3 linked regions of the Oryza sativa Japonica Group genome follow. The protein of the gene in region 3 interacts with the protein of the main gene of each other region in a pairwise test. Links are inferred from orthologs where the notes say so. Each region holds a gene or a part of one and is shown on either strand. Other genes may lie near its edges.

The links.
Region 1: the proteins of calcineurin B-like protein 1 (region 3) and cBL-interacting protein kinase 9 interact in binary tests that used the Arabidopsis thaliana proteins (3 or more experiments, as listed by UniProt). The link is inferred for Oryza sativa Japonica Group from reciprocal best matches to the Arabidopsis thaliana genes CBL9 and CIPK9.
Region 2: the proteins of calcineurin B-like protein 1 (region 3) and cBL-interacting protein kinase 8 interact in binary tests that used the Arabidopsis thaliana proteins (3 or more experiments, as listed by UniProt). The link is inferred for Oryza sativa Japonica Group from reciprocal best matches to the Arabidopsis thaliana genes CBL9 and CIPK8.

What each region holds. Positions count from the first base shown.
Region 1 is NC_089037.1:1,520,316-1,530,711, forward strand, and holds cBL-interacting protein kinase 9, read right to left. Parts: upstream 6,818-10,396; 5' UTR 6,468-6,817; coding exon 6,255-6,467; intron 5,527-6,254; coding exon 5,464-5,526; intron 5,353-5,463; coding exon 5,281-5,352; intron 5,093-5,280; coding exon 4,985-5,092; intron 4,894-4,984; coding exon 4,813-4,893; intron 4,579-4,812; coding exon 4,525-4,578; intron 4,444-4,524; coding exon 4,318-4,443; intron 4,232-4,317; coding exon 4,142-4,231; intron 3,990-4,141; coding exon 3,867-3,989; intron 3,754-3,866; coding exon 3,643-3,753; intron 3,406-3,642; coding exon 3,289-3,405; intron 3,154-3,288; coding exon 3,097-3,153; intron 2,999-3,096; coding exon 2,924-2,998; intron 2,786-2,923; coding exon 2,705-2,785; 3' UTR 2,142-2,704; downstream 1-2,141. Other genes in the region: uncharacterized protein, read right to left, coding at 10,139-10,396. UniProt on the Arabidopsis thaliana protein: CIPK serine-threonine protein kinases interact with CBL proteins. Binding of a CBL protein to the regulatory NAF domain of CIPK protein lead to the activation of the kinase in a calcium-dependent manner. Involved in K(+) homeostasis under low-K(+) stress.
Region 2 is NC_089035.1:20,035,276-20,044,985, reverse strand, and holds the end of cBL-interacting protein kinase 8, read left to right. Parts: intron 1-165; coding exon 166-228; intron 229-338; coding exon 339-410; intron 411-636; coding exon 637-744; intron 745-823; coding exon 824-898; intron 899-970; coding exon 971-1,024; intron 1,025-3,075; coding exon 3,076-3,201; intron 3,202-4,030; coding exon 4,031-4,120; intron 4,121-4,268; coding exon 4,269-4,391; intron 4,392-4,709; coding exon 4,710-4,823; intron 4,824-5,364; coding exon 5,365-5,481; intron 5,482-6,346; coding exon 6,347-6,403; intron 6,404-6,502; coding exon 6,503-6,577; intron 6,578-7,088; coding exon 7,089-7,184; 3' UTR 7,185-7,206; intron 7,207-7,311; 3' UTR 7,312-7,594; downstream 7,595-9,710. Other genes in the region: uncharacterized protein, read right to left, coding at 8,620-8,856, 9,228-9,326, 9,446-9,530, 9,624-9,673. UniProt on the Arabidopsis thaliana protein: CIPK serine-threonine protein kinases interact with CBL proteins. Binding of a CBL protein to the regulatory NAF domain of CIPK protein lead to the activation of the kinase in a calcium-dependent manner.
Region 3 is NC_089044.1:22,986,844-22,997,239, forward strand, and holds the start of calcineurin B-like protein 1, read left to right. Parts: upstream 1-4,173; 5' UTR 4,174-4,423; coding exon 4,424-4,502; intron 4,503-4,642; coding exon 4,643-4,725; intron 4,726-10,396. Other genes in the region: serine/threonine-protein kinase SAPK3, read right to left, coding at 359-619, 885-983, 1,088-1,192, 1,494-1,586, 1,717-1,809, 1,902-1,955, 2,044-2,145, 2,412-2,486 and 1 more. UniProt on the Arabidopsis thaliana protein: Acts as a calcium sensor involved in abscisic acid (ABA) signaling and stress-induced ABA biosynthesis pathways. Contributes to the regulation of early stress-related CBF/DREB transcription factors.

The sequences.
Region 1 (10,396 bases), on a different chromosome or scaffold from region 3:
TTTTTTTTTTTTTTTTTTTTTTTGAGAACCGATGTGTATACTGCATAGTAGTGTATCTCGTGTTTGAATTGGAGGGTAGAAGAATTTGCCGGCAACTTTGAATTTCTGACGAGAAGGGCGGTATCGAGTCAAACCATTGCATGGAAGAACCATACTAATTCAGATGCCTGTTGACTGTTGCCCGTGGTATTAATGGAGAAATTAGCCATCTAGAGACACTAATTTCAGCCATCTGCTTTCATTTACTTCGACAAGAAAATAAGAACGAGGAAATGAAAGAAGGTATAGTAATGTGCTGCAACTAAAGCTCAGCTAGGAGCCTAGGACCCATCAGCAAAACAGTCCTAAGCTTTTCGTTTAGGAAGAAACAGCCACTCGTAAGCCTGAAAATTTTAGTGTCCTTTCAATTTTCTAGTGTATGTATCTCCACAAACTTTTTCAACTATAAATAAACTGAAGATTAGTCGGCGAGTTCTTTATTGCGCACTGGTTTTAGGATCACAACAATCCATAGTTAGGAAAAGGTTTAAGTCTCAACCAAAAGTTTGATCTGCGTATGCATTTTCTCATTAAAAATACCGCACACCATGACCATAGATTATACTAGCACTGAGGACTGAGGAGGCAAAGAAAGACGGCAGAATCACCGGGGCTTCAAAAGGTGGGTAGATTTTCATTTCCAACATGACGAAAAAACTAGCAGAAGAATATTGGCAGCAGCTGTGGTTGTGATGTCCCAATTCCCATTTGCATTTGCAGATCCATTTTGCATCCTATAATAATCAAACAAACGGGGAGTGAATCGCTTGTCAATTTTTGCGGTTTGGGTGAGTCGGATGATCCTGACTTTCTCGTCACCCCTGACGACAGCATTGGCAGCTACCTCTTCCAACGCTGAAGGACTAGAGAAAGGAGCTCAACCGTTCAGCCAAAGGCGACGCATCTTTTTCGTTTTCGATGAAACAGAGCCTTCGTACTCCAGATATATCACGAAACAATTGTTGTTAATTATAGATTGATGCAGATGTGATCATGTGATGATTAAAAATAGTGATTTTGTGAGGTCATGTTCAGCTTCCGATCATCAACTCGCAAATATATTAGAGCAGAAAATACGGAAATGAAGCTACGTGTGTGCTGTGGTCGGTGAAGATGGCGATGGAAGAAAATCAGAAATAATGCCATTGAAAATTTACCTGGCTGCCTGCTGCGGTTTTTATCATCCAGCCTCACCTGACCCGCCTCTTTCGTTGTCGCAGAGGGTGAAAATGAAATCGCTCCACTCGGCGACAGAATTTTCTTGGACAAAACTACATGGACAGTTACCTCATGATATCCTAGAAACCATCGTCCGTATAGGAGCAGACATTGACAGATAAGTAAATTTATCGCCGTGTTTAGTTCCAAAATATTTTTTCAAACTTCCAACTTTTCCATTACATCGAAATTTTCCTACACACATAAACTTCTAACTTTTCCGTCACATCGTCTCAATTTCAACCAAACTTCTAATTTCGGCGTGAACTAGGCGTGAACTAAACACACCCATCTTTGTTTTCTCCAGCACGAGTCTATGTCATATGACTCTGCATTTTTGTACTCCCTGCAAAAGGAAAAAAGAAGTCGGATGAATGATCGCAACAGCAAACAAAAGCAGCCACTGTTTTCTGGTTTAAATCTTGTAACCATCGGCGCCTGTATTTGAGCTTTGCGGTTGCTATCATCGCACTCAAGCAAAAGCCGTATCAAATGGATCAGCCTCGTAATACAACTGAAATACAATTAGCAGCTGATAAAAGACAACTTATCACACGATGAACTACTGTATTAAACAAATGAACTGAAAAGATTGCAAATAGAAATTAAATTTTGATGCTTCAGTTCCCATCTGCTAATGAGTTGGAGAACAAGGAAACACAGGTAGTGCAGCTAACTCCAGGGCGATCGCCTGTAGCTTCCGTGCAGCAACGCCGGTGGACGGCTGACGGAGCTCCGGCGACCGGCGGCGTGGCAGGGAGAGCCGCGAGCAGATCAAATCAAACTCTCTCCTCCATCCGGGCCGTATTAACTCATGGGCTGGTGAGACCAAACCCGACTAGAATCGCATTGGTACCGATCCGGCCCAAGAGGATGTGATGGTTCATAATAAATAGCATGCAAAGGTGATTACTATTCTTTCTTTTATCCGGCCAATCAGATTGCATCATGATTGAATACATACACCCATAGCTCAGGTGTGAAGCCATTACAGTTTCACAAAAGAAAGAACTAACAAAGTTACACTGCCATTCTGCTGCTAGGTTTCTCAAGAACAGAGCACAGCTTAGTGTTACATAGCCTCCCAATTTCACATTTTGATCTTATTATATACTTTTCAGCACTAAAAGAAAAGGCACACAACCCTACTGGTCACCAAAGCATGTAGGACACCTATTTGACATCCCAACTGCAAATACAAGGTGCATCTCCGGGAGGGCCTTATACATGCATGTGAGCATGTCTACAGTTGCGCTAAGGGTAAAAAGAAAAAAAAAAGCGCTCCCTTTTGCAAGGATTGGCACAACAAGATGTGACCCCACAGAAAATTCATCAATGTGCACAAGACCAGGAGGACGATATCCTTTGGTATCACCTGGAGAAATGGTGCAAACGCTACAAAGGGGGAACTACATCCAGGAGCATTGGATAGTTGGAATACTAAAGATCACCTCTTCTTTGCTGCTTTTGCGTCAGATTCAGATTTCCACACTATGTCTTTTAACTCTGACGAGAAATTGTTGTAGAACTGCATGCAATTTGATAGAAATGACGTTAATCGTTCTGAAATCATCAAGAAACAACTAGATGCTGGGTACTATGAAATGATTTTTTTTTTCAATGACCCACTATGAAATGATAGAATATACAAAGTTTGATAACATACATTGTGAAACTCCAGCGTGTCCCCTCCAGTTTTACGAAGCTCAACCATGTGGAGTGATGGAGCAACCTCGAAAACCTGTGAGATAGCATGTGAATAAGTTCTTTTATTAAAGCAAAATTTACTGAAGCATTGCACAGACTTAACAGGATACATGTCAATTTAATTTCCAATACCTCCGTTGCTACAGATAAATAGCCTTTTCTTCCAGTCTTATCACCTTTTAACTTCATCTGGAGCCCAACAAAAAAGAACAAATCCAAGTTACTTCTGAATGGCGAACATACTGATGCAAATTCTCAAGGAAACTAACAGAAACCCACATAAAGCAAACTAGTCAATACATAGCCGTCTAAAATGCTACAAACCTTATAATTTTGTTTCCGCACATTGAAACCAAGAGGTCCACAAGCTTCCTCTATTTTAGACATGATCTCCTGTGGTGTACATTGAGATGTGAAGGAAGTTTCCCGCTTCACCATTCCCTATATATATTAGGTAGACTCAGACTATTTAGTAAACGACTAAGGAGTACAACTAATAGGATGATAAATTGATCAAAACATAATTGTTCTGTCGGACTTAGCACATAAAGAAAAGAGGAAAACATTAGCAAAATTATATTAACCGATACAAGCTTCCAGAAAGAAGCACTCCAATCTATCTAGCACATAACATATTCTCAACATGGAATTATAATATTGGACTCTATCAAAACCTACCATCATTTCCTTCTCAAATAAATTTCCAAGGTTGAATCCCTGTGACCTTGAAATTAGAGCAAATGCATTCATGGATTCAGGCTTTTCTCTCTTCTCTGCCACGAGATTCTCCTGAAAGGTTAAACAAACAAACGTAACAAACAAAGAAGTGGTTTTAACTCAGGTTACAAATCGTATTTTTGGGAAAGGATGCAGGTTACAGATAAATGTTCAGCTAGCATTACCTCTGAACAATCGAATGCAGCATCAACATCATCAAGGCTCACATCTTCACCTTGCTCAAAAAGTGGTGGTTTGTAATCCTTTTTGAACCAATCATCTTCCAAAATTTGTGCAATTGTTATTCTCTGCAAAGAATATAGCTCATTGTTTTCTGACTTCTCTCAAATTGCCATCATAAAAGGCTTCAAAGAGGATATACAATGAAACTCATTGGACTAGCAGCAGTCAGCTGGTCAAACTGGTTAGCTGAAGATATATGTCCTTAATTGTCACTTACTGTGCAGGGATTAGGATCAAGTATGCGCTTAATGAACTTCTTCGCACCTGAAGAAAACCAATGTGGACAAGAAACTTTTGCCTTGCAGATCTGTGAAGAGAACATCAAAAGTCTATCAAGTTTACCAATGAAATTCACAAGAAACATTAGAATGCGTGCATGTTACACATACTTACCAGTTTGTAAAGGGTCATTAGGTTGGGGTCATCGAAAGGTAAATATCCAGCCATGAGGACAAATAAGATTATGCCGCAGGACCATACATCAGCAGCCATACCATCATAACCTTTATCAGCAAGCACCTGAGGGAACAGTATGAATATATGATTCTTACATCTTTTTGGAGAAAATACACGAGTTTAATCAAAGGCAACATGAATCACCTCAGGTGCAACATAATTTGGTGTTCCGCAAGCAGTATGCAGAAGTCCATCCTCCTAAATAAAACAATCAAAATAGTTTACCAAAGTTACTTCTTTCAACTTTCTTGTCACCAAAACAAATAATTATGCGTCCGAAGTTCATTTGAGGTAATAGTGCAAGTTAAGGAACAAGTCAATTAAACCAGAAAAATGCTAGAAAACCCAAACACATCACATTAGGATAAAGAAACTGGTTAATTTTTTAACAACTACAAAAACATACTTCTGGGTACTAGCTAGATATCATACTTTTGTTTGTGGAGCAAACGCACTAAGGCCAAAATCTGAAACTTTAAGAGCTCCATGTGAATCAAGAAGCAGATTCTCTGGCTGCAAATGGCACATAAAAAATATGAATGAGAATACATCCATCCCAGTGGAGATTACCCAGAAAGGAGGTAAGCAGGATAATTCAACAAACCTTCAGATCTCTATGGTACACTCCTCTGCTGTGGCAATAATCTACTGCATTTATAAGTTGATGGAAGTATCTTCTTGCTTCATCTTCTCCTAGTCTCCCAGAATTGACCTAGTTGATAATAACATGATGATAAATGGGTCAACTTGTATGGTCCAAGAACTGCGGATTAGTCAGTCAGTATCAAAACAGTCAAATGTGCCGGTTCAACAAGCTACTCTTACAGCATGTAAAAGCAATTTGTACATAAACAAAAATAAGAATCGTGATATCTGGCACAGAAAGTTCATGGGCCTTACAATCTTATCAAAAAGCTCGCCTCCATCAACATATTCAAGAACCATGTATATCTTTGATTTGCTAGCCATGACCTGTCAAACACACATTGAATGTAAAATTCTCATTGAATGAGATGAGATAAAAAAAAAAAGAAGGGTATGAGTGGTAATGACGCTATTGTTCCTGCAAAGATAGCAAAGTACCTCATGCAACTGGACCACATTTGGATGTTTTATTAGCTTCATTGTGGAAATCTCCCGTTTGATCTGATAGAAGTGGAATATGAGGTTATCATTCACAATCGAAAGCTCAAGCTGGAAAACAGAACAGCTCGAGCAGGGACATTTAATTGTGCCAACACATCATATGGAAAATCACATATTTAACCAAAAAAAATACTAGTTTTTCCACCAAACAATGCATCAACCAATGAGTGATCTAGCACGGAATGTACAATACCCGAGTTTCCCCCCAGTCAGACTGAATTTATAACTCCCCGAGAAAAAAAAATGAATCTAGAACAACTCTTGCCACTCCTACGAACACCAAAGCTAGCACAGCTTTTTGCTAGGCAGAAAGCATTTGATTAAGACAGGGTTGGCATCACCGCATCGGAGATATTGTTATAGTTACATGGCCCAGCTTGATAATCTGTTGTTACATTTCCGATTCAAACTTGATACAATTCCATCTAATTTCCTTTAGATCAGAGCAGATTTAGCCCGCTGGACAGGCGGACACATGACCTTTCTTCAATCACAAACAATCCAAACAGACAGAATCTTGACAATGGTAGAGACGTAGTAAGCGCATATTCTCGTTTAATGTTTATTAATCCCCATGAAAATCCATCTTTTATAATAATCTAGCATCTATCTAGAATAATTTAGGATTCTTAATTCGATCCCCTCCGAGAAAAGATCCAACTTGTTATTACCTGATGTCTAAAAAAAGAGATAAATATTCAATTTTGAGGATGATTAAGGCGGCGGACCTGCTCGACCATCTTGTGGCGAAGCACATGGTTGCGGTCGAGCACCTTGATGGCGAGGGTGTCGCCGGTGCGCGTGTCGCGGGCGACCTTGACCTTGGCGAAGCTCCCCTCCCCGATCGTCTTGCCGAGCTCGTAGCGCCCCACCCTCGTCGTCCTCCTCGCCGGCCCCGCCCCCGCCCCCGCCCCCGCCGCCTCCGCCTCCGCCTCCGCCATCAATCCCTCCCGCAGATCAATCCTCCACCGCGCGCCTCGCCGCCTTCCGATGATGGGATCGAGGAGTGCGCGCGTTGGTAGGTCGCACGCAGGCTGGATGGCTTGGGCGCCCCGTGCGCGCGCCTCAAATAAGGCGGAGATGCGTTGGTGGCAGGTGTGGTGTGGGGTCCGGTCGGGAACCGCGTGGGACGAGACGTAGGCGGCGCGCGGCGTGCGGCACGGATGCGTGCGTGCGTGCGCGCGCTATCGTTTTGGCCGTGTGCAACGCGACGCGATTCACAGTTTTCACAGGCAGTGGCCCGAACTCTATCCCAATCCCACCACCACCCCGGCAAAAAAAACGATTAATCAAACTCGAAAGCAACACGCGTACGTAACGAGCACGCGCGAACGCGGCATTTAACCGTGGCTCCTCCTCGGATGGATAAATCCAAATGTGGGGCGAGATTTTACGTGTTGCCACTTGGAGATCGCTCCTTTCGGTTTTCTTTACGCTGGAGTAGGGAAAATCTCGCCGTCGTCCACCACCGTGGCCACAGCGACAGGCAACGAGCTAGTAGTAACCCTGAACATGCGTGCTTTGCACCTTCCTCGAAGGAGCACCCGTACGGTGCCGTACTCTCAATCATTCCTCCGTTGAAAACGACGCGCTGATCCATCCGTGCTCCACACGTCCTCCCCTGAACAAACTCTGGCTCTCCTCTGAACAATTCACCGCGACCGCGACGACGACAAAAACGAACGTGTGTGATCTTGCTACTGTATGCCGTTTGCTGTGTTGTTTTTCCAGCAATCATGCACGCAATTAACCTTGCCTGATGTGGTCGCGGTCGGAAGCGGTGCGCCACGAATCAGCAAGCGGCTAGCAATAGCAATAGCAATAGCAGTAGGCCAGTAGCAGCGTGAATGCATGATTGATGCCGCGATGGGGCCGAGAGCCTTATCCTGCGGCGTCACGCGGGGGCACCACACCACCACTAGCGCCTCGTGCCATGTCCCGTTCGTCGTCGCTGCCTGCACTGCACACCACATTCTCTCAAATCTTTTTCCTCGCCGCCATCAAGGCATTACCACGACAGGGGGCGTGACCGATCGACCTGTGTGTGATTGCTGATTTGAAATCGTAACCGTCACATTACATTTGGAGAGAATTGTGATTGCAACTCTTGTGTTAGTGGTTGATACTGCAGCAGCTTTCGTGACTTTGGAAGTAGACGGCGAGATTATTGTGACGGGGACAGCACTGTTGTTCTGGAGTGAGAGTTCCACGTGCGACTTTGTTTGCGTTGTCAGCTTGTGGGATTTCGATTCCAGGAGGATACGTACTTCGATGAGCTCCATGGCCGGTGATTTTTGTCGAGTTATACTTGATGGTTGTCGCAGAAACACTCCTAACCGCGAGTTAGAAGAAAGTAGAATCGTGCTAGATAGAAAATGCTTAGTTTTCTATTTTAAGAAGGCTATGCTAAGAGATTTCTGAAAAGAAAAATTAAAACCGCGATTTTATACATTTTGACGTAGTTCGTAGATATTCAGCTCCCAACGTGGCAGGTTAGCAGCAGAAGAAATGTCATAAACCCAAAACCCTCTGTTTGGGAGCCCATAATCTGGCGAGAAACCTGGCCCAATTCTTTCAGGCCCAGTTGACAAACAGGCCCTGAAACCGGACTCTCTCTCTCTCTCTCTCTCTCTCTCTCTCTCTCTCGCTCTCGCCTTACAAAAACAACGGTGGGCTGGCCCATGATGCTCTCTGTCGACGAGTGAAAGAAGCCCAGCCCATGAGAAGAAAAGGATCGTCGTCTCCAGACCATACGATACATGCGCGCATGATTCATCGCCCCGACGTGGTCAACTACCCCGAATGTCTCCATCAACATGTGGTACAATAAGGGCACCCGCAATAATTATCTATAGATTTTCTATAAAAGATACATGTCAGCATATTTTCCTACTTGAAAGAGATTAAATGGAGAGAGAGAGCAAAGATATCTACTAATCTGGAGATAGTCTATAGAGAAAAACGAGACAATGGATTAGAGAGCTATAGATACCCATATAGACATACAATTAAAGTGGTTTACTATTAATCTAGTCTATTACTGATATGTATATATTTTATAGATAGCACGTTACTTTACTATTGTGGGTGCTCTTTGGGAAGTCTCAAGCTAGGGAAGTGAAGCCGAAGGGAGAGGCCAGGCCAGGTCGGCCGTGTCACCGGACGGCCGCTTTCCGAGTTGACGCTCCACCGAATGGCACCGTCCCAGGACACGCCATGCCCCCGCCCGTGATATAATCGAGCTGAATTGCCACAGCTATCGTGAGTGTGAGTGCACCGCTGCCGCAGCGGCGTCGTCGTCGGAACTCGAAACACAGCAACGGCTTGGCCGGTTTCCCGTTTGGTGCCCAGAGGTAACCGTACGTCGGAACTCGCAACTCGCAAGGCGGCTTTTGCATGCAACTAGCGTGCAGAATTCGTGTAGAATCTGGCCCGCTGCGTACGCTGCCGCCGCTGTCCTCGTCCCAAGAAAGAGGAGGAAGAAAGCTTAGCCAGAATAATGTGATGCGAACACACATCATCAGTATTTGTACTGGAGCAGTAGTAGTAGTAGTAGTAATAGTACAGTGAAGTACTGGTCCACTATAGATACTCCCGTCCCCATCAACCAGGCGCAAAGCTTCGGCCGCCTGAACAGTGAACACGACGAGCTCGATCCTAAGATAGATTCTTCAGCGTCTGTTCGGTTGCAGTCTTGCAGATGGGAGAGCCTCAACTTTTGACTAGGTTTTTATTCACCGAGAATGAGATGCGAATTCTAAAACGTGTAGACGCCACCAAACCGCACTATCTAGTTAAGTCCATGCCCCATGCATATGTGGCTTTGTGCCCATCGATCCGTTCGCCATTATCGCAGTTTGCAACGTAACTGGAACAGACCAACATATATATTACTAGCTAGCTTCCGTCCAAATCTCCACCCATAATCTGCCAGAGCCCCGAGACAAATGTTAGCGTGATACACACACATGAGCGACGCGCGTGCTACATGCCCAGTCTCATTGCCAGTCAGCCTTGCATTATTGAAGGCGACGTCGATTGCCAAGTCGCGACTTGTGAGGAATAATTGGGACTTTGGCCGAGTTGGCACCACCATCAGATTCAGGCCTTCGTGCTCCAACTGCCAAGTACTAGTCGCTGCGGTCACTCTGTGTTTCCAAGCTGTGGCAGTGACCGCGTAGGAAAGAAAACAACACTTTCTTTTCTCGTGCCTATGTGTGGACTATGCGGCGATAGTAGTAAAGGAGCCATCATTTTTGTGTGACTATGACAAATCGCTGTCGGGCTGAGCTGCATAGCTCTCTCTCAAAATTCGATCCGGAGCTGTCAATGTTAACTCGCTGAATAAAAAACCTTGACAACGAGAATTTCTTCCCACGTACTTGATCGACTAGAATATAATTAAGTGCCAAACTTATCTGCAAGATCAATCGAAGCATCTGAAATCTGCAGGTTTGTACTAGCAAGAACTTTTCTTTAGAATTTGGATCCCATTCTGATCACATTCCGATCATCTTAGGAAAAACGACGATAAGAAAGAACACCGAAGAAGAATAATAAGACTAAGAAAATGTACACTCGACGGACGGACGACAGATCGAAGACAACCCAGTCATCTCTCGGCAGCGAAGGGCGGCGGGACCTGGTCCTGGACGGCGCGGAGGCTGCCGAGGCGGCGGCACGCACCGGAGGCGAAGAGGGAGAGCCAGGCGACGAGCGGGGTGCCGAGGAGGACGAGGCCGACGGGCACCATCCACAGCTGCTCATGCGCCGGGTGGAACGCCACCGCCCACCACACCAGCACGGCCGCGCCCGCCACCCCCGTCGCCGCCACGCCCGCCGCCACGGCGAGGCACGACCACGTCAACCT
Region 2 (9,710 bases), on a different chromosome or scaffold from region 3:
CCTATGTCAAGAAGCACCCCTTTGTAAAAAAGAACTCACAGGTTTATGCTTGTAAGGGAAAGGCAGTTTTAGCTGTTCTAGTTTTGTGTTGTTGAGCTGCGTAAGTTAGCTGAATCCTGATGTATCAGGGTGATAAAACAGGAGCTTACTTAATTATTTCTGCAGATTAAGAGAGAGATATCTATAATGAAGCTTGTGAGGCATCCGAATGTGGTTAGACTACACGAAGTACACCCTCTTTCCCTTTTCTCTCTTTAAGTTTTGTTGTTTACTTCTTTGTTCTCTCTTGCTTTTTCCAAGTGCTGATTGGGTGATCATATCTGTTCTGTTATGTGCAGGTCTTGGCAAGCCGGAAGAAGATATTTATAATCTTGGAGTTCATCACTGGCGGTGAACTATTTGATAAAATAGTAAGGCCCTGCTTGTTAATGATAAGTGTCCTTTTCAGTGTCATTTTCTCGATATGACCTATGAAAAAATTGAAGTTAAATTAGTTCTTGTATCTGTTGCCTAGTTGTCTACCTCATTACTTCTGGATTGAACAATCGCCACTTGTGCTTGTTGGATTTAACACACAAAAATGAGTTTTCAAATCTATGTTGAAGCTTAGTTATTCTGGGAACAATGCCATTTCAGATTCGTCATGGAAGACTCAATGAAGCTGATGCACGCAGATACTTTCAGCAGCTCATTGATGGTGTTGATTTTTGTCACAGCAAAGGTGTCTACCATCGAGATTTAAAGGTGATAAGTCAAAAGAAAAATACGAAAACTTTTTGTGTTTAGTTTGTGGGCTTTTTGATTTTATTTTGTATGTATGCAGCCCGAAAATCTCCTCCTTGATTCCCAAGGAAATCTTAAAATATCAGACTTTGGACTCAGCGCCTGGCCTGCTCAGGTCCATACCTTTCTGAAGGCTTGTCCAATATTCATATCCTTTTGTCGAGTTATTTAGTTTGTTCTTGTGCAGGGTGGTGCCCTTTTACGTACTACCTGTGGAACCCCAAATTATGTTGCCCCAGAGGTGAGTGACATCTGAATCACATGCTTTGCTTTGAGTTTTCCTAGATAGAAAACATTAAAATTGTCTTCTGCAACAAAGGGTGGTTTAAATATGGGTTAATTGGATCCATGCCACTGCAACTTTGCCAAATTGAAAAAATGCCACTACTATTCATCATATCGGCTACATGCCACTCGAAATTTCTAAAATTGGAACCATGCCACTCCAGTCAGTTTTTCCGTCCTCCTCTCTCACGCCGTCTCTATTCCCGTCATTATCCCCCCTCCCTTCCCATCCTCCTGCTCCTAGGTGGCCGGGGACAGCACCACCACCTTCGTCGTCCTCACCGGCGCAAGGGTCGGCGGCGCCGGTGCACGAAGACGAGGCTGGCCTGTGGTTCCCGTTCGCGGACTCGCTGGAGAAGGACATCTTCTCGGACCTCTTCTACGAGGCGCCCGTCGCGGCGGCGGCAACGGCTGCGGCTGCTGGCCTAGGCGCCGATGGCGACAGCGACGGCGAAGGCAAGCCTTGCAAGGACGATGCGGCAATGGCGGAGGAGCGTGGCGGGCCGGGCGCGGCGCGACCTGATGCCGCCGCCCAAGTCGACGCCCCTCTTCTCTTTATTCCCCACTTCTCTCCACCACGTCCATGATGTTAGCCGTCGCGCCGGGGAACGGGTTGCCGGCACGGAGGTTGTTGTCGGCGTCCATCACCCTGTACACCACCTTGTGCGTCGGCTTGCCGTGCTCGTCCACGCCATTCTCTGCAAAGATTTCACGTATCTCACTGTCAATTTGACAAATGAACTCATCCAATCCAGCGACAGCAACATCTGTATGGATTTAACAAGAATGGACCAAGCAAGATCGAAGCAGTCGGCGGCTTGGCGCCGCGGGGGCTGCCCATGCCAAGGGCCTCACGGCCGAGGCAATGCGGCGGCCGTGGCGCCGCATGTCGGGGTCCCCGACCGCCGACACTTTGCCGCCGCCATTCGTCTCGAGTCTCTTGATGGACTGCGCCACCAAGTAGCACGAGATGGCGAGGACTTGACGGACCCGTGGGCGGCGGCGGGGGCCGCCGCCGCCAAGGCGTCCGCAGAGGCCCCGCGCCGCTGGAGCGGAGGCGGAGGGCAAGGGACGCCGAGCTGTCCGCGCTCGCGTCGGCCACCCGTGAGGCTGTGACCGCTCGCGCCGCCGTGTTCCGGGAGCCGTCCCCGGCGCCGTTGGACGCGTCGTCGACGGCGGGGCGGCGCAGAGCTCCCGCCCGTGGTGCTGCGCGCGTCGTCGCTGATCCAGCGGTGGCGGGAGATCGAGGCGATGGGGCCCGCCACGTCGCGGCCCTACGACCTGGCCTTCGACTCCGACGGCGGCTCGCCGCGGGCCACGTGGGGTGCATCGTCAAGAAGCTCAGTGGCACGTCGTTGCCGCCGCCGCTGTACTCGATCCACGATGGGAGGTCTCGGGAGCCGCTGCTGCCGTCCTCGACGCCATCTGCGGCGGGAGTGCTCGGGAGCTGCCGGCGGCGTCGCCGCTGTCCTTTGCAGTCGCACGGAGAAAGAAGAGGGAAATGGAAACGATTAAACGGTGGAACGAGACGGTGTGAGAGAGGAGACGGAAAAAGGGACGAGAGTGGCATGGTTCTAATTTTAAAAATTTCTAGTGGCATGTAGCTAATATGATGAATAGTAGTGGTATTTTTTCAATTTCGTATAGTTGCAGTGGCATGGATCCAATTAACCCTTTAAATATACCTTCATCCTAAGATGTCAGATTACTCAGTTAAACATGTGTGATGGAATACTCATACATTTATCCTTCAGGCAGGTTGAGTAACATTGTTCCACCGTGTAACTTAAGACATCTTCTCTAAAAAAATGTAAAAAATAAAAAGTGATATAACTAGAACTGTTTTTTATCTCTATACTGAATGAGCCAAATATGCATGATTGATATCTCTTGATTCTTTATTTGGAAAAATGCTTTACTTTTCATTCTCAGTAAAACCATGTGATGTGTTTCATATGATTATAGATAATGTGTTCACTGCAACCTTTAACTCCTTGTATGGATCAGGTTCTCAGTCATAAAGGATATGATGGAGCACTTGCTGATACATGGTCATGTGGAGTTATTCTATATGTCCTGTTGGCAGGTTATCTTCCATTTGATGAAGTTGATTTGACTACCCTTTACGGGAAGGTTTGTTTCTTCTAACCTATGGCAACTTTTTTGAAGCTCAAATAAGTATATTGCAACCCATTTATGATTTTGTGTCAGTGTATATCATATTGGCACATGATCTCTTTGTATGGAAGATCAGATCTCATGACATTTACTTGTATTTGCTTTTACTATACACTATGTGCTTACGTTTATTATCTAGCCACTCATTTAAGCATGATTAGTGGTATTAGTTTGTGAAATCCATGTGAAAACAATATCAAACATACTCGGTACTTCTCAGTGCATAGATAGCTAAGTAGCTTATGTAATGTAGTGTGTTGCTAGTAGTTAAAGATTACAGATCCTGGCAGTGGCTCTGATACGTGAGCATAGTGATCTCATACCTGCTTTCCTACTGCTGAAACATTCCGGCAAGTAAGAAATGTAAGCTTGCCGAAACAACTAACCAACTAAAAGGAAATTAACCTCGGCATCCTTTAGAATAAACTAGTTAACATGCTACTACTTTCAATAAGAGAATTAGCAGAGAAGCTGGGGAGCACAACAACAATAGCAGACTCATTACACATGGCTTCATAGCTAAATCCTCTCCTTTTCGCTCTTGTTTCTCTTTTCTTTTTGGTTGGTGGAAGTATAAACATTTGTATTCCATTCTAGTAGGACTGATTAAGAGATATATCTATTTGCATATTTCAGGTTGAGATGCATATAGCTATTTTTATTTTCTAGATTTGAATATTAGTTCAACATATGCCTTGATGGATGGAATAGAAGTTTTTATCTAAAATTGTTTTTCTTTTGTACAGAATATACAAATTTATATCTGTCTATTTGCTTAATACAGATAGAGAGTGCAGAATATTCATTCCCAGCTTGGTTTCCTAATGGTGCCAAGTCACTTATTCACAGAATTCTTGACCCTAATCCAGATAAAGTAAGTAAAGTTATAGAAGTGTTTAGCTAAAGAAAATCTCCATTGGCTGATATGAATTCAATGAATTATAGTTTAGATACATCACACCTCTAGATACTGATTTTCATTGGCATTTTGTTGACTCAATATGAATTTTGACTTGGAACAGAGAATCAGGATAGAAGAGATCAGGAATGATGAATGGTTTAAGAAGAATTATGAACCTACCAGAGAAATTGAAAGTGAAGAAGTCAATCTTGATGATGTCAATGCAGCTTTTGATGATCCTGAGGTATTTATGCTTACTCTTGTCTTAGAACTGTTTTTGGAAAGGAATCATTGCATATATATGACATTTTGTATGTGCTACAATCTTCAAAATATGCTCCAAATGAAAGCCTCGGAATGGAATTTCAGTTGCTCCAGATAAGAACTATTAGCAGTAACTGAAACTGGAATTTCAGTTGCTCCATTGTTAATTATGAAATTTGATCAGAAAGCCTGTTTCGCACTGAAGCTATGCTGTACGTTTTTACGGGAGCTCTATTGTGCCTTTTACCTGTCATTATATAAATATATAATTTGTGGTCCTTTTTCTGTGTGATTTCAGGAAGACGCTGACCATACTTTAGATGACGAAGCAGGACCTTTGACACTCAATGCATTCGACCTAATAATTCTATCTCAAGGCTTGAACCTTGCAGCACTATTTGATCGCCGACAGGTATGGTGCAAGACATTTTGTGATGTCTAGTGTTTTCGCAAACTAAAAGTTGGAGTACAGGACTAACACTGTTATTATGTCATGTCCCAGTTCTACATTTTTTAATTAATACGCTATTTGGGCATTAAATCATGGTTCTTATTGTTATTATCGGTGAATATTCAGTTTAGTTTAAATAGTGTACATGTGATTTGCTGCGGCAGTTTACATTATTTTTGCAATCATGTATTATATGCATAGACTAAAGAAAATCCATTTGATTCAAATTATTTTAACATATAACCAGAGGAAAAAGACAATGATAGACCATCCCATCTGATGATCTTTGTTCCTCTTCTCTCAAACACACCTTAATATTGTTGCTGCCCAACTTGACACAATTCAAACTATCCTCTATTTTTATTATTTTTGTATGTACTCCGCAATACTGGTATTGCCTAGAAGCTTGTTTAAATGTCCATGGTTTACCCTGTGTGTGAGTTTTATAGATAATTATGGGTTTCTTCTCCTCGGACCTAATGCTTGATGCCTTGATCTACAGGACTATGACAAGCTTCAAAATAGATTTTTATCACGCAAACCAGCAAAGGTTATCATGTCAAGCATGGAGGTTGTTGCTCAGTCAATGGGGTACAAGACACACATTCGCAATTATAAGGTAAAGTTTGTTGCCCCACACCCTATAGCTTGTTACAACATCACTTACCTATTATACAGATATTGCAAATCATCTTCTCCTTCATCTTAGCTGACAAGCAGTTGTTCTATCTATTTTGTGATAGTTAGAATGTAACTGTTTTTTGGTTCATTGTACAGACATACAGACATGAGGATCTGTAGTTCTGTTAAGGTCTAAATTGTATCAGAAGAAGCAGCACCCTGTCTTGAAAAGCTTATTGTTTTCTGGAATGTGAATATGTTATTTTAAAGTCAAATAAATTTCTTATTATCTTCAATGTATCAAGCCTCATGTTTGAACAAGTTGTCAAGAGAACGTCATTTGATATGCTGGCATTTACATTTGAAATTATTGTCTAAGTAGCAACCACAAACTACCTCTGAATTGACACAAAAAGCATGATGATATCAAAAGTATTAATTCATTAGAATGTGTTTAGGTTGCTGGTCTAAGGGGTTACAATAAACTGTACCCCAATTTTTTGTACATATATATGCACAAGTTTTATCAACCTGAGTAAACAGTACTTCATTTCAGTCCTTTTACCACTGGTTTAACAGTATTGAATGGTATTGCCAGTGATACATCTCTTTAATTTCTTGTATTGTTTGTTTGTGGCCTTTTTTTTTCCCTTTTGGCATAACATTGTCTGGATGCTGGTAAATTGTGATCAAATGCGGGCTTACAGTTTTAATATTATTCATGCTGTTATTTTGCAAGTAAAAGAGTTATAATGTTTTGTCTTGTGATTTTGATTCTCAAAACTTCTTTTACTGCTAATTAGTTAGCATTACCATGGACATATTTGATTCCTTACATCTAGTTGTGCTATTAATATATTCAGATGAGGGTGGAAGGTCTAAATGCAAATAAGACAAGTCATCTCGCAGTTATGCTTGAAGTGAGTCTTGCCTCTTTTGTAATGAAGTACATCTGTTGTTTTATTGCCTTCTATTATGGATTACTCCAATCCTTTTCATCCTGAGTTTCCTCTGGTCAGATTTTTGAAGTTGCCCCATCGATCTTCATGATTGAACTGCAAAGAGCAGCGGGAGACACCTCCGATTATAACAAGGTCAGATGCAAAGAGCCTTTCATACTTGCATCATGCTGTTTCTTGAGGTCCTACAGCCGATACACCATGTATAGCTAAATGCACCTGATACATCTAGGCTGTAGACAGCCTAGTGTTATAAAGCTGGAAAATATTTTGCAATGTTGTTACCACAGAGCTTTACGGAGACTGTCTAGAAAATAGTTAGGTACTAGTAGTACCAGACTGATGTGGGACCTACCTGTGTACATGCATGGACCGTACTATTCATTTGCTGCTGTCTTATTTTTCAGTTTGTGTTTTGTCAAAGCTAAATAAGCATGCCTAATGTTAAAGGTTAGGCATGGGCAAATATATTCAAGTAGTTTCTTCACCCAAGAAATCTGAAATAGTAATGCTTATAATTTCCTGATGAAACTTCTTGCTTCACTAGATATTTTTGTGAATTGTATAATGTAAAATAAATTGATCTGGATAATGGCTTTTGATTTGCTAAGACATGCACAACTAACTCCGCGTGTCTTATGTGCAGTTTATAAATAATTACTGCAGCAAATTAGACGATATCATTTGGAATTTTCCAATTGAGAAGAGCAAATCAAGGATATCGCGGCTATCGAAGCGCTAGTCTGCTTTGACATCCATCATTTGTATGCTGTTGTTCAACTCTATTTTCATCTTCTATTGCCATAATATTTGCATTTACCTCTACTTATTACCTCTTAACCATACCGGAATGCTCACCACTATTGCAGGTACTATGTGTAATCTAATGCTATGCAGCTTGAGTGGTATTGGGTTTGTTAGTGGATGTATTTGTAGAGATTGCCAATTCAATTCATCTCTGATCTTTTAGTTATAAGAGATGACCATGTACAAAGGGCCACTGAAAGTTTTGGCATCTCAGTTTCTCTGTACAATGTTTGCAGCGAGGTATATTAAACAGTTTGACTGACCGCCGCTCCCTGCTCATCAACACGCTTTGTAGTTTGTCTCAAGATGTATTAATTTCTCCCTGCTCCATTAGCAGCTTGCATCAGTATGAGTTCCGGTTGCCTAAACTGCCATTATGCTAGCTAACTGCCTTATACTCCTATCTTGCAATGTCATAGAAAGTATGTGAGGTTTACGTTAAAAAAAAAAGGAGTTTGAAAGAAAGTGTTAGGCTGTATAAGCAGAGGCCTATACAGGATCGAGCATCCACTGTGAAAGGAATTGCAGAATGACACTAATACAATGATCAAAGAGATAGTGTCAGCTACTTGCTTACAGGATTGTTCTGCCAACAAAATGTGCAGTTCACTCATTCATGCGGTTACTGTGAAACGAATTGTAGAATGAAACCCATACAGTGATATCAATTCTCAAAGATTGTAAGCTCCTCTAAAAAAAAGTTTGTCGGCTACTTCAGATTGCATGATTCTGTTGCTAGCAAAATGTCCACTGCTGCCACACATTCATAAGGTTACAATTTACAGGCCATACAAAGTTCAGGGATCTACATCATAACACAGTGTAATGTGAAAAAAACATGATCATCCTTCTCTCCTATTATCACCACTTCACCAGTGAGAGCCAAGTTCTCTATTGTAAACACCATTCTTTAGCAGCTGCGTCTCAAAAATGGTCAGTTTGCTGCGGCAAGTTTGTAAAATTTCCTTATAATCAAAGTCACCATCAAGATTGCCAAGACACATTACACTTCGATTCCTAGAGAACAACCCCAACCCTGAAAGCTGTTCATTAGCTCATGATCATGGACTAGCAGACGCTGAACTTACATATGGTTACCACCGCAGATATCTGTCGTAGGAATGATCCGACAGAAAAAAGATGGGCCAAAACATTGGAGAGATGCGAACCATTGGCAGGTTTCGCTCATCACATCTGACAAGAAAAAATCAAGACTGTCTGAATTGCACGCAGTGAATGAAACTTGCTTCAGTAATAGACGACCGAGGGTGAAAGATGGCTGCTTTGATTTAGGATGCAAGATTAAAGCTGAACGCCATTAACCATTACCGCTTGGATAACTCCTGTGTCCACTGAACCGATGAACATCTCTAGTGAGAAACATCTCTAGTTTTTTGGTACATCCTCCTGTATATGGTTGCTCCTTCTAACTCTGCATGTACTTCTCTCTCTGTCCGTATGCCCATTGGGTTGTCCAGAAGCCATCCTTCATTGTCACATCGAAGATCTTTATCAATACAGTCAACATGCTCAAACACATCCGAGTATTCATCAAACCTTTCCCTCATGTCTGCAGCCACTTCGAGTACATCCGATTGCAAAAGAACCTAACAAGGAAAAATGGTGAGTTATTGAGAAGACAATTTGCAAAATAACGTGTCGCCGTGGTAGACAGATGGCAAGTTGGCAACTGTAAAAACTTATACAGGTATACAATTAATATTATCAAAATTCCACTAAATGATATTTCAGGCCATCCAACCCAGCAAGCCACAGAGCAGCATATCATTTATTCACATTCTGGTTCACACAATAGATTCCAACCATACTGTTTATTCACATAAATCGAAATAAAAGGGTATTCAATTGGACAGAACTAATGCATATTAGGAACAATCATGCTAATGTAAAATACTGATTTCACATTATTCATGCAAAAACTGTATACTTTTCAAAATACATACAAGAATTGCCATACCCGTCCACCTAAACAGAGGTTATTTGTGATTGAATCCACCAACTGCGATTGTAGAACTCTTCTCTTGTGATGCCTCTTCTTAAAATGGGGATCAGGACACTATAGAAAGAAAATATCAAATTCTGGTTCCGAAACATGAAAGAAAAGCAGACCAGGAACTAAACTAGCATATTCAACCAACGTCACGGAAAACTGACATTACACCTAGCTATACTCACCAGTATAGAAACAAGTGACAGGGGACCAGGGTACGACGACGCAATCTGGTTGAAAGACACTGTTGCATTTGCAAACATAAAATAACTGTGCAAAAATGAAACCACTTAGTATCGCCTCATCATTTTCTGAAAAAAAAGGAAACTGGATGCTTTAACGTAAAAATCCAAGGTAGCTTACACATTCCTAAGCCCCAACTCGGTTACCCAGAACTGCGACCGCTCCACCAACTAAACAAACAAAGCAAGGAGCACATTAGCACACAAA
Region 3 (10,396 bases):
AAATAAATTTAACAAATATCTTAAAATAGAAAAATATTTTGAGAAGCGCAAATAATATGTTTAAATAATCCAAAGACAAGGAAGTGTAGCACAAATAATCCAATTACATAATTCAATGAATAAACTGGGAAAATGACCATGCAAACTGAATAGTCCTTGCCAAATGATCACACGAAACTGCAAACAAATAATTATTTTTTTTCTTTATTATTTACGCTGCAGGAAAATCCGGTGCAGAGTATACACGGCAGAAAATGCATCAGAATACGCATATCATTTGGTCTGGCGATCACGTATATTCCGGATCATATTTACAGCTGCAGCACAACGACCATGGATGCATATGGATCATGGATGGTCAGTAGGTGTCATACTCATCGGCGGCCTCCTCTTCGTCGTCGCTCTTCAGCTCGGCGAGCTCCGCGAGCAGCGCCGGGTCGGCGGCGGCCATGTCGCCGGGGACCTTGGCCTCCTGGATGATCCGCATGATCTCCTCGACGGCCTGCGTCGGAGGGGCGGCGTCCGTGTCCTTGTAGTCGGCCTTCTCCCTCTCCGATATCTCCTTTGGCAGATTCTTCAGAAACCACGTGTGCTTCTTTATCTCAGGGATCGTGATCCTCTGAACATCAAAAGTTCAGGGATGCAAAAACTCGAGTTAGTTAAATTCAGAGGGAATCCATCTCGTTAATTAATTAGAGACATAGTTTGAGCATTAGAACATATAATTGAGATCATATAGGCCGCATTACAATGAGTAAGATTACAGGTAGAATCTGAGTATGATTTAAGGTTAATTTTCCCTTCGGAGTAATCTAAAGTTTGGTCTAGTTTGGCAACTTGGGATCTCACTTAAACTGGGAGGTAAAGTGTGTGAAATTAAGTACCTTTGAAGGATCGGCAACAAATATTTGAGATAGAAGGCGCCTGCAGTCGGAAGACACCCTCACGTAGTCCGGGATGGAGTATTGCACGCCAAGAATTCTCTGTCAAGTGGAACAAGGCATGCATATTCAGAGTTTCAGACTCACCATTGAAGCAAGGTGTAGAAAAGGCTTGGATGATGAACAGAGGGAAATGGAGCACTTACGCTGATCGTTTTGCGGAAATTCCTCGGATCACCTGGATCTTCAAACGGGTATGAACCGACAAGCATCACGTACAGTGTCACACCACAGGACCAAACGTCTGCTACCTGGGTAAGGAGACGCATTACCTCAGATCATGCAGAGATGCAATTCTATGATGCGATGTTCCAGGAACTTCAGTAGCGTCCTAACATTACTGAAAACGTAAAGCTTATGCTGTTCGGTTTGTTTTGCACTCAATGTAAGTATTTCAGCTGCAATGGATCACTTTTAGCTAACGTCTAAATGCTCAATTGCTACGGTTCCATGATGCTAGAAAAGAAAAAACAATAGTGATAGATACTGCTATCTATCTTTACTTTACAGCCAAATTCAGATTGCAAAACATAGAAATGAGAAATAACTTGCCTTGCCATCATATTCTTTTCTTGAAAGAACTTCTGGCGCTATGTATGCTGGAGTACCAACTGTAGACTTCGGCTTCGAATGCAGCAAAGCAGACTGAAAATCAAAGAAGCCAAGTTGTTCAGTACTCCAGTTTGATTCTACCAAGAAGGCAAGAACAATTCAATCTATTTCTAGTAAAGTACTCTGAGATGTAGAACAGAACTAGTAGCATCCATGTTAGCACCTTTGAGTAACCAAAGTCACAAATCTTCACACGAGGTGTTGGGCTTCCATCCAGGAGGGTGTTCTCAAGTTTAAGATCACGGTGGCAAATTTCCTGCATTTTGCAGAAGCAGTTAATGACCACTTAACTTAATGAGCTTACGATGTGCCTGTTACGTCTGCAGAATTTCAACAAGCAAAACATACCAGAGAATGACAGTAGCTGACACCTGATATTAGCTGCTGGAAGAAGTACCTTGCCTATTGACATGAATCAATTATTGAGCACAGATGGTTTGCAAAACGGGAAGATTAGCTCACAAGAAGACAAGTAGGGCCTGAAAGCAACCTCGTCTTCGCTGAATCGCCCTGCGGTGCAGATTTGTTCAAAGAGTTCTCCACCAGCAGCATACTCCATGACAATGGCTAGGTGTGTGGGTGTCAAACAAACCTGCTCTTGATCGACACACAAAACAAGAAATCGTTATAGCAGTTGAATTTACTTCGATCTTAAGACGATACACTACTTACTAATTGTATGGTAAGTAATCAGCCAGGGTAAGCTTTGTGCTTGATAGATGTATAAACCCAAAACCTTATCATTTTACTTTCTACAGTAGCAGTGGAGATCAGCTCCATCTAGTTTGACTGTTTGACTGACTGATAATCAGTGAAGCTGCCGAACGAACTGATGAGTGAAAAGAAAATCTGAATTACCTCCTTAAACCGAATGATATTGGGATGCCGGAGCGACCTATGATTGATGATCTCCCTCTGCACATTTTCATCAATCTGCACACAGAGCAAACCAACCATCCATGCATCATCAATCAATCAAACTAAAAGCTAAGACTCGTCATGCATCTGGAACAACGAGTTGCTGAAAACATCAACTCGCACACACCATCAAATTATCAATCAGTCCGACGCAAGAAACTGCGAAATAAATCACAAAAGGAGAGAAGAGAAGACAGAGACAGAGGCAGCATCAGACCTTCTTGCCCCTCTCGATGTACTTGACGGCGACGAGCTCCTTGCTCCTCTTGTCCCTGACCAGCCTGGCCACCCCGAAGTTGCCGGCCCCGAGCTCCTTCAACGCCTCGTACCTCTCCTCCATTGGCCCCCTCGAAACCCAAACCCAAAGAGGAGAAGTCGCCGCGGTTCGAGACCGAAGCCGACCACCCAACCAACCCAATCAGAGGCGAGCTAACCTCCAACCAAACCAGACCAAATCCGAAGAAGGGAGGCGGCGAGGTGGAGGGATATGAAATTCTCTTCGTCGCCGTCACCGGAAAGCGACGAGGGTCTCTTGGTCGGACTTGAAGCCGAAGCGAAGCAGCGACGGCGACGGCGAGGTGCGCGACACGTGGCCCCCACGAGTGCCGTCGCTTGTCACGTGGGCCCCACGCGTCAGCTCAGCTAATCGGCGGGCGGGGTAGGAGTGGGGCCCGTGGATTAGGTGGCGTGTCCTGTGAATACGACGTGGCCGTTTCGTCGCTCCGGGTTGCCACGTGGCTCCATGTACGTATTATATGGAGGCCCACGCTCAGAAGAGGGCGGTGTCCAGAAACATGGAGCTGGGCTTTTCTTTTCCAAAGATGCTGGGCCGGTTTTCTAAAGTGCAAACCATGGGCTGCACGATAAATTAATTGATTAATCAGTTTTAGCTAGTAATCGTTAGCAAAGACGTTGGTTAACTTGGTTTTCTTGCTAGTTTCGTAGGGATTTCAAATGGTTATGAGCAGTCGTTCAAAAAAAAAAGATGATTATGAGCCAAGCAAACCATGGGACTACTATCAATTCGAAGCATCCGCTCGAGAATCTTCCATCGAAGATTTGGAACAATGTTGAATTTCTTCGATGTGACATAAACAATCTGCCTGGTCGTGGTTCACTACTGTGGTAGTAGTACTATTAGATTACTCTAATTATTGCGCGTGGCTGAGGTAAACCATGACACATTAGTGCTGGAATTGTTGCATGTGACCGAGAGGTAAGATTAGCGCAAGTTGGCTTGCAATTTCTTTGCGAAATCGTATGATCTGCTAATATTCCGTGTGGCTCTGCCCCTTCTCGCTGATTGGAGTTGCGCTTAGCCGTCGTAATAGTCATTTTCTTTTTCTTGGTTTTTTTTTGTCTTTTCTTCTTTTTCTTGGCATAAGCCAGTCTGTCTGATTGCGTTATGTAAACAAATATTTTTTTTTAATATATTGACTTAATTGTTTTGCGCGTTCGGAAAAAAAAATCTGCGAATATTCCCAGCTGACCAAAATGGGAATGGACGACGACGACGAGGTCCTCCCTTCTTCGCTTCTTCCAATCCATGGGCCGCAAGTCCGCAAGGGCCGCGCGCACGTGGGCGCGGTGCGGGTCTTCTTTCCCAAAAGAAGTCGGGGGAAAGCGAGGCGCAACGGACTCGGGGCCCACCTATCGCGTAGGTAGTAGGACTAGGAGGAGGCATAGCCCGTCTCGTCTCGACACCCCTCCGACCCCGACGCGTCGCGCACCAAACCCCCCCGCCCCCAACCCCGACCTCCTCCCGTGCTCCGCGCTCCGATCCGCCGCCGCCGCCGCGCGCGCGCCGCCGGGGGAGTGCGCCGGCGTGTGGTGGTGGGTGTGTAAGGGTAGGTGGAGGGGTGGGTGATGCGAGATCGGCCGCGGCGGCGGTAGAGGGGGTGTGTGTGCTCGGCTACTCCGGTGGGTCGGGTCTGGGCGGGGTGCGCGTGGGGATGGGGTGCTTCCAGTCGACGGCGAGGCGTCCGCGCCCGGGGTACGAGGACCCCGTCGGCCTCGCCTCCGAGACCGCCTGTGAGTTGTTGTTGCTGTACTTGCCACTTGAGGAGTACTCTACAGTACTGTATTTCATTTCATTTCATCAAGTAGTTCATCTGATTTATGCAATCGATGGGCGTACTGGAAATTCTGAGTTAGTTGTTTTGGATGTGTAGTTAGCGTAAGTGAGGTGGAGGCTTTGTTCGAGCTGTTCAAGAGCATTAGTGGTTCTGTGATCGACGATGGGCTCATCAATAAGGTGAACATCTAACTGTTTCTTGGGGGTATCTCACCATATTGGCATCATGGCATGTGTGATTATGAGCATCCTGATACATTTACTAATCTGCTTTTATAGCTTGTTGTGGAATTACAAAATTAGACCTTGCCGCATTCGAATATATCTACTGTTCCGTCTTTCATCACCATATTGGCATCATGTCATGTGTGATTATGAGCATCCTGATACATTTACTATCTGCTTTTGTAGCTTGTTGTGGAATGACAAAATTAAACCTTGCCACATTTGAATATATCTCCATGTACTGTTCCGTCTTTCGCTGGATATGAGAGGAGGTGCTCTCATATCGGAATTTATTAAGAGGGGAGTGAGGCTCGAACCTGGGTCGGCTAGCCCACAACTTGTGGTGCTAGCCAGAAGACCCCCACGCCTTTCTCACTGTTCCGTCTTTCAGGTTTCAGCTGCACAAATTATGTGGTGGATGCCATTTTCTGTGAATCGTTTTGCTATGCTGGCAGTTCTATTCATTCATCTTTGAAGTGAGCATGAATCTTTGTTGTACACACCCCGATCCTTTATTCCTCTTGTACCGCTCATTGTATTATGTGTTTGCCTTCTAAATTGTTGAATTTTCTGTGTATCAAAATGTGATTTTTTTCCTCAAAGTTTAATAGGAAAAAACTTGTTCCTGATATAAACCATCTGGCTACTATCACAGTATAACAACACAATGATAGTTCAAAGTTTGAGTCACTTTCTTCCTGCCTTGTCAATATTGATTTGCCGTGCTATAAAGCTAGACATAATGCGTTTCTCTTGCATCTTCACTTTTGTTTTTTGCATCTTCTTGTTGCGTCTTGCGTGGCGAAGAAGTTCATTAACTGCTATCTGAGAAGCCATACAGGTTCATGCACATCTGCTAGTTCTCATGAACTATAATCTTGACGTCATCAGTAGCTAAATTCACGGTATGAAATTAGGGACTACCTATCTAACGTTCGACATAAAATCCCCCCAAAAATATGCCGTAACTACAACACAATAATAGTGTAATTGCTGTTAGAATTTCAATGGTTACTCTCATTGAGAAGAGGATGGCACTCGAGATGGGGCAATTTTCTGGTTTTCTTCATTCACTAAACACAAAAGCCATATCCTCCCAAAGAGGATTGGATACATATTTATAGCTGCTTGTAGCAGCCATGCAGCCATGCTAGTCTAAGAGGGTGCTGTCAGCATCCCAACAAACTGTCCTAGAGCAGAGCATCCCAACAAACTGTCCTAGAGCATCTCAACAAACTGCTGTCCTAACTGTCCTAGAGCATCCAAACTGAAAGTAGAGATGCTGTCCTAGAAAGCTGAAAAACAGGAAAAAAGGCACCACAAGACCAAGACCAACCAGCCAAGACTTATTCCTACATTCTCCCCCTAAGTCTTGTGCGCCGTCTTGTGGGAGAGTTGAGCCATCCCGATCCGGGAGCAAAGCTCAAGGAACTTGATCCTCCCAAGGGGTTTGGTGAGCAAATCCGCAAGCTGGTCCTTGGTGTTGATGTAGCTCGCCTTGATGCTCCCTTCCTCCAAGTAGCTTCGGATGAAATGGTACCTCACTCGGATGTGCTTGCTCCGTTCGTGAAAAACGGGGTTTTTTGCCAGGGCCAGAGCGGACTTGCTATCCACCCTGAGCTCCACCGCTCCAGTATCTCTGCCGAGGAGATCACTAAGCAGTCGAGCAAGCCAGAGCGCCTGGGTCGAAGCGGCGGATGCCGCCATGTACTCGGCCTCGCAGCTGGACAGGGCCACCACCTGCTGCTTGATTGACTGCCAGCTAACGAGGCACTCGCCGAGGAAGAAGAGAATCCCGCTCGTGCTCTTGCTGGTGTCGATGTCGCCGGCGTGGTCGCTGTCGCTGTACCCGACGAAGTGTGCCTTGCCAGGACACCTCGGGTAGTAGAGACCGTGGTCGAGAGTCCCCGCAACGTAGCGGATGATCCTCTTCACAGCCTGCTGGTGCTCCGTCGTCGGTCGCTGCATGAACCGACTGACGTAGCCGACGGAGAAGGCCAAGTCCGGCCGTGTGTGGGTGAGGTAGCGAAGGCTCCCCACAAGACGTCGGTACTGTGTAGCATCCACCTCCTCCGCTGTGCTGTCGCGGCTCAGCTTCAGTCTCTCCTCCATCGGAGTGAGAGCTGGGTTGCAATCGGTGAGCCCAGCCAGCTCAACGACGCGCTTGGCGTAGGCGGTCTGTCGAAGCGTGATCCCGGAGTTGTCCTGGTGCACTTCGATCCCCAGGTAGAAGGAGAGAGGCCCCAGATCACTCATCTGGAAGGTGGCCTTCATCTCCTCCTTGAACGCCGCGACCTCTGCATCCTTGGTGCCGGTGATCACTAAGTCGTCGACGTAGACACCCACCAGCAAGGCATTTCCTCCATTGCCCCGCCGGTAGATGGCCGCCTCGTGCGGGCTTTGCTCGAAGCCCATCCCCTTGAGCGTGGAATCCAACTTGGCATTCCACGCCCTCGGTGCCTGCCGCAAGCCGTAGAGGGCCTTGTGCAGGCGTAGCACCTTGCCCTCCTTGCCGGGGATCACAAATCCCGGCGGCTGGTGCACGTAGACCTCCTCCTTCAAGTCGCCGTTTAGAAACGCCGACTTGACGTCCATGTGATGGACGCCCCAGCCTTCCTGAGCAGCCAGCGCAAGAAGGAGTCGCACGGACTCCATCCGTGCCACGGGAGCGAAGGCATCGTCGTAGTCGATCCCCTCCTGCTGCACGAAACCGCGTGCCACCAAGCGAGCCTTGTGCTTGACGATGGCTCCGGCTTCATCCCTCTTCAGCTTGAACACCCACTTAAGGGTGATCGCGCGGTGACCACGAGGGAGGTCAGCAAGCTCCCAGGTGCGGTTCTCCTGAACCGCGTCCATCTCCGACTGCATCGCGGCACGCCATGCCGCGTGTTTCTCGGCCTCTGCAAAAGACCGAGGCTCACCGTCGTCGCACGCAAGGTGCAACTGCGCCTCCAGGTTGCGAGGCACCAGTCCCGGCACCGGCTGGTCGCCGAGAAGATCCTCCATCGTACGGTACCGTAGCTGCTCGCCGTCATGGTACGCGTCGATGCGCTCCCCGTCGTGGGAGAGCGGAGTAACGAACTCCACCGGGCTGCGCTCAACACGAGCTGGCGTCGGAGTAGACGTGCCCGGAGGAGTGGCTGTTGGTGCTGGAGCGTGTGGGGACACCGGCTGGGGTGGTGTCGACGACGAGCTCGTCGTAGTCGAAGTCGTGGCCCGAGGGTGTGTTGGTGTTGGAGTCGGTGGAGGCTCGGGGACTGGGGTAGACACGCTCGGTGAAGAAGAGCTGCCTACTCCCCCAGCTCCCTCGAAGTGGACGTACTCGATGGTGAAGTCGTCGTACGTCGGAGTCGAACCATCATCCACCGCCTTGTCCCATACCCACCCTCGCCCTTCGTCGAACACAACATCGCGCGTAATGCGCACACGCTGTGTCTCCGGGTCGAGGATGCGGTAGGCCTTCGAGCCCTCCGCGTAGCCGATGAACACCCCTGGGGTGCTCCTGTCGTCGAGCTTGCCGATGTGGCCAAGCTCCTTGGCGAACGCGAGGCAGCCGAAGACCCGCAGGTGGGAGACCGCCGGCTTGCGCCCATGCCAAGCCTCGTACGGTGTCCTGCCATCGAGGGCCTTGGTAGGCGAGCGGTTGAGGATGTAGGCGGCCGTCACCACCGCCTCCCCCCAGAAGATGGCCGGCATCCCCCTCTGCTTGAGGAGGGCCCGAGCCATCCCCACAACCGTCTGGTTGCGCCGCTCGACGACGCCGTTCTGCTGTGGGCTGTACGGCGCGGTGTAGTGGCGCTGAATGCCCTCATCAGCGCAGTACGACGCGAATTCAGCCGCCGTGAATTCGCCGCCGTTGTCGGTGCGCAGCACGCGCAGCTTGCGGCCGCACTCCGCCTCTGCTGCAGCCTGCGCATGCCTGATGGCGTCCGCAGCCTCTCCCTTGCTGCCGAGGACCATCACCCACATGTAGCGGGAGAGGTCGTCGACGAGCAGCAGGAAATAACGTCGTCCTCCTGGTGTGGCCGGTGTCACTGGGCCACACAAGTCCCCGTGCACGAGCCCGAGCCGCTCCTTGGCTCGGAAGCTCGTCTGCTGGGGAAAGGGGAGCCGCCGCTGCTTTGTCACCACGCAGACGTCGCAGAGCTGCTCCACGTGGTCAAGGCACGGCATGCCTCGCACCATCTCCTTGGCACTGAGCTGCTTCAGGGCCTCAAAGTGGAGGTGCCCGAAGCGCTCGTGCCACTGCCACGCCTCGTCGTCCCGACGAGCGGCGAGGCAAACTGGATGTGCGACTTGCGCGCTGAGGATGTAGAGTCGATTAGTGCCTCTGGTTACCTTGGCAAGAAGGCGACGACGGCGATCCCAAATCCTCATGAGTCCGTCCTCGACCAACACGCGTGAGCCGTTCTCATCCAGCTGTCCCACGCTGATGATAGAATTCCTCAACGCGGGGATGTAGTAGACTCCGGTGAGCAGCCTGTGCTCACCGGACTTGGCGGTGAAGGTGACGGAGCCAACACCCTTGATCTCCACGCCGGAGGCGTCCCCGAACTTGACGGTGCCTCGGACGCTGGAGTCGAACTCGGTGAAGAACTCCCGTCGGCCGGTCATGTGATGGGTGGCGCCGGTGTCGAGGTACCACCCATCAGCCTTGTCGTTGCTGGAGCCGTCGCAGAGGGAGACGAGTACCTTCGGCTCATCAAGGTGGAGGAAAGCCGCTGCGGCCGGTGCCGCTGGAGGTAGCTCGATGCTTGCGTGAGCTAGGAGCAGAGCCGACTCTTCCTCCTCCACCCGTGCGACGTGGGCCTGGCCGCGTCGTGGCTGTCGACAGTCTTTGGCCCAATGGCCAAGCTTGCCACAGTTGCGGCAGGTGTCGTCTCGTGCCGGCTTGTGGTTGCCGGTGGCAACGCCCTGGGCGCCTCTGCGGGCGCCACCCTCGGCACGTCTTCGCGCCCACCGTAGCTGGACACCTCCCCGCGCCTTGCGCGGCTTACGGCCGCCTGTCGGGGAAGATGACTCCCCCTTCCTCCCGTCACCCTGAGAGGCCTCCCACTGCTCCCGAGTGAGATGGAGCTTCCCGCCGATGGTGATGGGCCCCGAGAGAGGCCGTGGCTCATCACCATCGACGACCTTGAGGCGACCTAACGCCTCCTCGATCGACATCGTGGAGAGGTCCAGCAGAGATTCAATCGAGCGAGCGATCTGCCTGTACTTCTCAGGGACGCAGCGGAAGAGCTTCTCGACAGCTCTCTCCTCGTCGTAGGTGTCGTCGCCGTACTGCACCATTTTTTGCAAGAGAGTGTTGAGACGGAGAGCAAAGTCATCAACATCCTCACCTGGCTTGAAGGCCAGGTTCTCCCACTCCTTGCGGAGTGCCTGCAGTGTGGACTTGCGGGCGCGGTCGCTGCCGATGCGTGCCGCAGCGATGGCGTCCCAGGCCTCCTTGGCAGTCCGTTTCTGGGAAAGCGAGAACTGCATCTCGGGCGGAACTGCAGCGATGAGGGCATCCAGTGCCCGCCGATCCTCGTCGTAGTCGACGTCACCGTACCGGACTGCCTCCCACATGTGCCGCACCTGGAGCCTCACCCTCATCACCGCGGCCCACTCGATGTAGTTGGTTTTG